2 linked regions of the Macaca mulatta genome follow. The protein of the gene in region 1 interacts with the protein of each later gene in a pairwise test. Links are inferred from orthologs where the notes say so. Each region holds a gene or a part of one and is shown in the gene's direction. Other genes may lie near its edges.

Region 1 (4,450 bases):
GGAGAATCGCTTGAACCCGGTGGGTGGAGGTTGCAGTGAGCCAAGATCTTGCCACTGCACTCCAGCCTGGGTGACAGAACGAGACTCCGTCTGAAAAAACAAAAAGAAAACAATAACCACCCCCGCCACACACACACACACACACACACACGCCAAAATGCTGGTTGAGGATTCTAAATGGCTCAACTTGGCCAGCTATCCCTGAACTGCCTATGGTGTGCATGTTCCTATAACGCACCTCCCAGGGAAACCAGAGGGGCTGTTTCCACGTAAAAGGAGGAATTTCACCACAGACATAATACTTTGGAATAGTTTTGACTATCCTTAAGTAAAACACGGGATGACAATTTCTCTAATTTCCACACTAGTAGTTTAAACAAAGTAGTCATCAGACCACAGAGGAGGGGCAATAAATACTGCCTGCGAGGTAACTCGGAGAAATACTTTCACAGAGGCCTCTTGAGGTGAGCATTTAGCACTGTGTGATGTGTGTCAAACCAAGAGGGGATTCAGGGAGACTTCCAGGCTTGAGCAAACGGACAAATAAACCTCCTCTTCCAGACCTCTCCTTACATATGAAAAAAATTCGTTTGAGACCACCAGAAAACAAAGGATAAAAGTATCGTGTTAGAACAAGGACGGATTAAAAATGATCTTTGCTGAATTGAAACAAGCTATGTGCGTAAGTGACTTAACCCCTCTATAACTTGGCTTTCTTGTCATTTACACGAGGGTGCTAACAGTACCCTCACAAGGCTCAAGTGATGATTACACAGGGCAATCCCTTAGTCAATGTCTTGGTACACTGTAAACGCTCAGAAAATGCTGGAAAATCACATTAGCAATTAGTTTATACCCATAATTGTAGCTAGAAGGTTGTATTGGATGCTAAACCCCGGCTAGATTCCATTCGGTAACTATTATAATTATTTATTTGCATAAGTAACAAGCAAATTGTTGGTGCAAACCAGCCATTATTACTGTAAAATACTTTAAAATGCTCCTTTCGATAGTCCAGTTACGTACTGTGGCACAAAACCAGGAGAAACCAGGAAATGGAAATAACGAGTGAGTTTTGATGCTTCGATTCTGTCCTAGATAGAGATAGGTGAGAATGGAGGCAAAAGAAGACATGTTCTTCCAAACAAGAGGTAACCAAACGGGCAAGGGAGACCTCCCCCCGGGCATGCAGAGCGCACAGATTCTGCGCTCAGGGAGCCGGAGGGCTTGGGGCTGGGAGACCCCGGCGGAGCCGCGGCAGAGTAGTCGCCCATGAGCCCCCGCGACTCAGACGCGCTCGGCTTCGCGCTCCGTGGCTGGGACCACCGAGGGCGAGCTGCAGCCTTCGCTACCCAGTCCGCTGCCGGACCCCGCTTCCGACAAGCAGCCCGGCCAGGCCCTTTTCCGCCGCTCTGTCACCCAGCCGAGGATCCTTCCCAGTTTCCCCGGCGGCGGCGCCGTGACGTCACTTCCGGTCTCAAGGGCGCACGTGGGAGGAAGTGCTGGTGCCCTCAGCCGCCGCTCCCGTCTCTTTGGTTACGCTCGTCAGCCGGGCAGCCGCCGCCTCCAGCCGTGTGCAGCTATGGGAGTCCCGGCGTTCTTCCGCTGGCTCAGCCGCAAGTACCCGTCCATCATAGTCAACTGCGTGGAAGAGAAGGTGAGGAGGCTCCAGGCGGCCGCCACACTCGAGCCGGGGGTCCTGGCATGTCTAGGCCGCGGCCCTCGGGCTCCGCCGCCTGCCCCCGGGGAGCCTTGCCGGAGCTCGCGCCCTGCTGCCAGCCTCGCGAGCAGTCGCAGCCCCACACGCGGTGGGACGCGGGCTGTGGGATTCAGGACCCCGGGGGCTAGGGATTCGGGACCCTCGGCTGGGCAAGGGCCTATCTGGTTCTGAACTCGGAGGGCCGCTCCTCCCCTACCCGCTTTTTCCCGGCACCGGAAGGCCCCGCCCACTGCTTTGTTTCCTCTCGAGACCGCGCGTTTTGGGTCTCGGAAGAGGTTCAGAGGCTGTTGAGCAATGCATGCCAGGTCGGCTGAGCTAGCGGGTTACGGATGCACGGATTCGGAGGCCTGCTTTTTGACAACCTTTTAAAGGAATCCCTGGCGGCGAGCTTTTCGTTGTTTATCAGTCGTGCCTGAAAGGTTTTCTCCTAGTGTTCAGGACCATTTGTTGTTCTGGTTAGATTGGGCGCTGAAAGCAGTATGTCAGGTCCAGGACGAACGCTATAGAATTCTGAGAAGTTACCCTTCTCTGTGTGCCCCGACTACTGGACAGGGTGGGTGCTTGTTGAAAATTTCAAGATTGCTGGATATACTCGAGCAGTACAATTTTTGTTGTTAATATGTAAGTAGATTTTTGGCCATTATTGAGTTTTGTTTTTATTGTTTTCATCATTCCGTGCGAGTTCGATTTTGTACACTTAATTAGAATTTCTGGATTGGAAATGTTCGGAGGCACATCATGCGTACCTCACTCCTTGGTTTTTGAAGGCAGTGCTTGCCTGTCAGTGTGAACTTATTTCTGCTTTTTTTTTTTTTTTAAACTTTCTTGGCTTCTATCCAAGGAGGAACCAAAAGCCTTGTTTTAGTGACATTCCCACTATTTCTTGTTTTTTTTTTTTTTTCAAAAAGCAACTGCTAAATTGAATGCTTGCTTCCTTTGTAAAATTTTAATCGAACTTTATTGAACTTTTACGTGGGTTAAACAAAAAGCAACAGTTCTTGCTCTACCCCTTCTCATCCCATTTCTCCACTTTTAACTGTTTTGGTTCTGTCTCTAAGTATACTTATACTTTATCGCTTTTAGATCTGTTGAATTCTAGCTGGATAGGAGAGGATTTAGTCACTTATTCAGCCTCCCTCTATACTCTTAATGGAGTAAATCACTATATATATTTCATTGGTAAGCTTTATAACTAAGTAATTTGCCTTTTTCATTCCATCACCTGTGTAAAGTATCCCTTGACTTAATGCTTTCTAAGGTCGATCTTAGCTTTTCTTCCCTTTCACCTCAAGTTTGTCAGCTGTACTTTGCGCTGTGAGCATCCAAAATTAAATGATCAGGGCTTTGACTATACAGATTTAAAAAGCTGAAAAATCAAATCGGATATTTGAGCATTGACACTGTGTGGATTCAAGTTATGTACTGCGATTTTGTTTTTTGTGCTGCTTTTGTCTTTTTCCCTGGGGATGCCTTTTTTTTTTTCCACTTTACATCTTTCTGCACCCAAACTCTATTTTACCAGGTAGTCTATCAAGAGTCTTTCTTCTTGAAGAGTCCTCCTTGGGGTCTTCTTTATTTTTGTTGCTGTCATACCTGGCTATTCTGTAGGCTTGCTGGAAAGCTGCATCTGGGATTTTATTATTATTATTGCTGTCATATCTTTCTTCAGTGGGAGGTACTGTTTTCTGGATCAGCATCTTTCTTCATTTGTTTTAGAAACGGAGTCTTCTTCTGTCTCTTAGGCTGGAGTACAGTGGCGTGATAGTGGCTCACTGCAACCTCCGGCCTCCTGGGTTCAAGCCATTCTCATGCCTCAGCCTCTGGAGCAGCTAGGACTACAGGTGTGCGCCACCACGCCCAGCTAAATTTTTTTTTTTTTTTTTTTTTTTTAGTAGAGACAGGGTTTTGTCATGTTGGTCCTGCTTGTCTTGAACTCCTGATCTCAGGTGATCCGCCTGCCTCAGCCTCCCACATTGCTGAGATTACAGGCATGAGCCAACACACCTGGCTTTTTTTTTTTTTTTTTTTTTGTATTTTTAGTAGAGACGGGGTTTGCCATGTTGGCTATGCTGTTCTCTGTCGTGACGTCACATGATCCGCCTGCCTGGGCCCCCCTTGTGCTGGGATTACAGGCGTGAGCTATGGCACCTGGCCCGTCTTTCTTCCTTTAAATCTTTTCTTAGTTTTTATTCTTAATTCTTAAGAAATGCTGTGTGGGATGTGAGATTTCCGAGTCATTGTAGGCCCCAAAATAGCTCCATTCTACCCTTATACACGTGAGTGATCATTAGCTAGGCATGGATTTCGAGGTTTTTTTTTTTTTCTTTGAGACAGCGTCTAGCTCTGTCACCCAGGCTGGAGTGCAGTGGTGTGATCTTGGCTCACTGCAACCTCCACCTCCCGGGTTCAAGCCGTTCTCCTGCCTTAGTAGAGATGGGATTTCACCATGTTGGGCAGGCTGATCTTGAACTCCTGACCTCAGGTGATCCACCAGCCTCTGCCTCCCAAAGTGCTGGGATTACAGGCATGAGCCATTGCACCTGGCCAGGAATTCGAGTTTTAGTATTAGGTTCCCTGAAAACTTTGAAAGAAATTGTTCTTTTGTACTCTCTCATCTAGTGGTGTTGATGACAAGTTCGGTGTTAATGTGATATATTTATTTAACCAGCAGTTATATAGCATTTACCGTTGTCTTAAGAACTTTATTAACTTGTTTGATCCTTACAACCA
Region 2 (3,650 bases), on another chromosome or scaffold:
ACCTGAGGTCCGAAGTTCAAGACCAGCCTGGCCAACGTGGTGAAACCCCGTCTCTACTAAAAATACAAAACTTAGACAGGCGCGGTGGTTTGCATCTGTAGTCTTAGTTACTGGGGAGGTTGAGGCAGGAGAATTGCTTGAACCCAGGAGGTGGAGGTTGCAGTAAGCTGAGATGGTGCCACTGCTCTCCAGCCTGGGCAGCAGAGCGGGACACCGTCTCAAAAAAAAGAAAAAGGGCCGGGTGCGGTGGCTCAAGCCTGTAATCCCAGCACTTTGGGAGGCCGAGACGGGTGGATCACGAGGTCAGGAGATCAAGACCATCCTGGCTAACGCGGTGAAACCCCGTCTCTACTAAAAATACAAAAAACTAGCCGGGCGAGGTGGCGGGCGCCTGTAGTCCCAGCTACTCGGGAGGCTGAGGCAGGAGAATGGCGTAAACCCGGGAGGCGGAGCTTGCAGTGAGCTGAGATCCGGCCACTGCACTCCAGCCTGGGCGACAGAGCGAGACTCCGTCTCAAAAAAAAAAAAGAAAAGAAAAAAATGTCATTTAATTTATCTCTCCAGGCCAGACACAGTGGCTCACACCTGTAATCCCAGCTACTCAGGAGACTGAGGCAGGAGAATCACTTAATCACTTGAACCCAGGAGGCAGAGGTTGCAGTGAGGGGAGATTACATCACTGCACTCCAGCCTGGGTGACAGAATGAGAATCCGTCTCAAAAAAAAAAAAAATTATCTCCCTTTCTCTTCTAAATAACCTAAGGTTAAGGTTGTGTAGGAGTTTTTTGTTGTTGTTGTTTGTTTTTTGAGATGGAGTCTTGCTCTGTCACCCAGGCTGGAGTGCAGTGGCGCGATCTTGGCTCACTGCAACCTCCACCTCTGGGGTTCAAGTAGTTCTCTGCCTCAGCCTCCTGAGTAGCTGGGATTACAGGCGCCTGCCACCACGACCGGCTAATTTTTGTATTTTTATCTATTTATTTATTTTATTTTATTTTGAGACAAAGTCTCGCCCAGGCTGGAGTGCAGTGGCACAGTCTTGGCTCACTGCAACCTCTGCCTCTTGGGTTCAGGCAATTCTCCTGCCTCAGCCTCCCAAGTAACTGGGATTACAGGCGCCTGCCACCGAGCCCGGCTAATTTTTTTGTGTGTTTTTAGCATAGATGGAGTTTCACCATCTTAGCCAGGCTGGTCTTGAACTCTTGACCTTGTGATCCACCTGCCTCAGCCTCCCAAAGTGCTGGGATTACAGGTGTGAGCCACCATGCCCAGCTGGTTATGTTTTTTTAAGTAAGCCAAACTTTTGGTTTCTTTTTCTTTTTTGAAATTAGAGATGGGGGCTCTTGCTCTGTTGCCTAGGCATATTGTAGTGGCTGTTCATAGACACCCTGCAGCCTCAAACTCCTGGACTCTAAGGCAGGAGTTTGTTGGAACTTCCTTCCTCAGCCTCCTGAGTTGTTGGAACTTACAGGCATATACACCACTGTGCCTGGTTTTCCATTTTATTGCAAAAGCTGTGTATTGTCGAATGTTTAGGAAAGATAAAAGTGAAATCTACATCAGGAGATACAAGTTGCTGATACTTAAAGTCAAAGTGAAGTAGAATTATTTTTGTTTTGATAAACCTTTTGAGAGAGATTGTAATCTGGAAGTACTACAAAAAACAAAATTGGAAATCACTGAATTTGCACCAGAAAAGCACCTCAGACACTAAACTTAAGCCTTTATTCTGTCCTCTAGAGCAAAAATCACTTCTTGCAAGTTTTCAGTGTCTTACTCTTCTTAGAGTCTTCTTTTTGCTTCTCATTTCTGGATGTAGGAGGTAGTGTTTTTAAAGAAGTGCTAAGTCTAAAAGGTTTCTGCTCATTTTATTTAGATAACAAAAGAAAAATGGATGAGACAGATGCTTCATCAGCAGTGAAAGTGAAAAGAGCAGTCCAGAAAACATCCGATTTAATAGTGTTGGGTCTCCCATGGAAAACAACTGAACAGGACCTGAAAGAGTATTTTAGTACCTTTGGAGAAGTTCTTATGGTGCAGGTAAACTTCGATTGCATCAAACAGTTTTTCTTTACAGTGAATGAGCATCTGGCATTTATTTATTGGTATACATAGAGATGGGGTCTCACTATGTTGCCTATGCTCTGGTGTTGAACTCCTGGGCTCAAACTGTCCTCCCACCTCAACCCCAGTGTGCTGAGCCATGATGCCTTAGCCACATTCTTGTTACTTTTTTTTTTTTTTTGGAGACCAAGTCTCACTTTGCTGTCCAGGCTGGAGTGCAGTGGCACTATCTTGGCTCACTGCAAACCTCCACCTCCTGGGTTTAAGCGATTTCTCCTGTCTTTAAGCGATTTCTCCTGTCTTAGCCTCCTGTATCTGGGATTACAGGCGCACATTATCACGCCTGGCTAATTTTGTATTTTTTAGTAGAGACAGGGTTTCACCAGTTGGCCAGGCTGTTCTTGAACTCCTGACCTCAGGTGATCCACCTGCCTTGGCCTCCCAGTGCTGGGATTACAGGTGTGAGCCACCGTGCCCGGCCATATTCTTGTTATTTTAATGGCACTGTACTTCCTGTTACACAAATGATACTTCCAATATTTGTTATATTTACACACATATCTTGTACTCTATATTATTACCTTCAATATTGTAAAATCCTGCTGTTGCGTGAAGGCTTAAGGGAATTAGGTGATAATAGCTTTTTATCTTTGAATTCATTCTAAGACATTCTGTTAAAATCCTGTTGTGGTGGCTCATGCCTGTAATCCCAGCATTTTGGTAGGCTGAGGTAGGAGGATTGCTTGAGGCCAGGAGTTCAAGACCACCTTAGCCAACATAATCCAGACTCAGGATTGCTTGAGGCCAGGAGTTCAAGACCACCTTAGCCAACATAATCCAGACTCAGTTTCTCTTTTTTTCTTTTTGGAGACAGGGTCTGGCTCTGTCAGCCAGGCTCTAGAGTGCAGTGGTGCAATTTAGGCTTGCTGCAACCTCTGCCTCCTGGATTCAAGCTATTCTTGTGCTTCAGCCTGCCAAGTAGCTGGGACTACAGACGCATGCCACTATACCTGGCTAATTTTTGTATTTTTTGTAGAGATAGGGTTTCACTGTGTTGCCCAGGCTGGACTTTAACTCCTGTGCTCAAGTTATCCAGCCTCCGAAAGCGCTGGGAATACAGGTGTGAGCCACCACGCCTGGCCCCATCTCTCTTTTTTTTAAGAACTCAAAAACATTTCTGTTGTATAAGTGAGTTTTGCTCTATTGTTAACACGGTATGGATTCAATATTAACCTCCTTGTTTTTACTCTGAAGACTAACTTGGTTTAAGTTTTAAACAACTGCATCCAGTTAAAACCATTCAAATTGTTTTTTAAGGAACTATGATTTGGGCGTGGAATGTGTATGTGTACTGTTAGAGTAAACTTAAATCATCCTTTCTAGGTCAAGAAAGATCTTAAGACTGGTCATTCAAAGGGGTTTGGCTTTGTTCGTTTTACGGAATATGAAACACAGGTGAAAGTAATGTCACAGCGACATATGATAGATGGACGATGGTGTGACTGTAAACTTCCTAATTCTAAGGTACTTGGGTCTGTGCTTTGGGATTTTTTGCTGACAAACTTCCTTAGAAGATTGTAAGATAAAAT

What was found.
Region 2: the proteins of XRN2 (region 1) and TARDBP interact in binary tests that used the Homo sapiens proteins (3 or more experiments, as listed by UniProt). The link is inferred for Macaca mulatta from reciprocal best matches to the Homo sapiens genes XRN2 and TARDBP.

Annotation. Positions count from the first base shown.
Region 1 is NC_133415.1:62,749,440-62,753,889, reverse strand, and holds the start of XRN2 (5'-3' exoribonuclease 2), read left to right. Parts: upstream 1-1,582; coding exon 1,583-1,657; exon of another isoform or gene 1,658-2,341; intron 2,342-4,450. UniProt on the Homo sapiens protein: Possesses 5'->3' exoribonuclease activity. May promote the termination of transcription by RNA polymerase II.
Region 2 is NC_133406.1:229,708,418-229,712,067, reverse strand, and holds part of TARDBP (TAR DNA-binding protein 43), read left to right. Parts: intron 1-1,873; coding exon 1,874-2,037; intron 2,038-3,444; coding exon 3,445-3,585; intron 3,586-3,650. UniProt on the Homo sapiens protein: RNA-binding protein that is involved in various steps of RNA biogenesis and processing.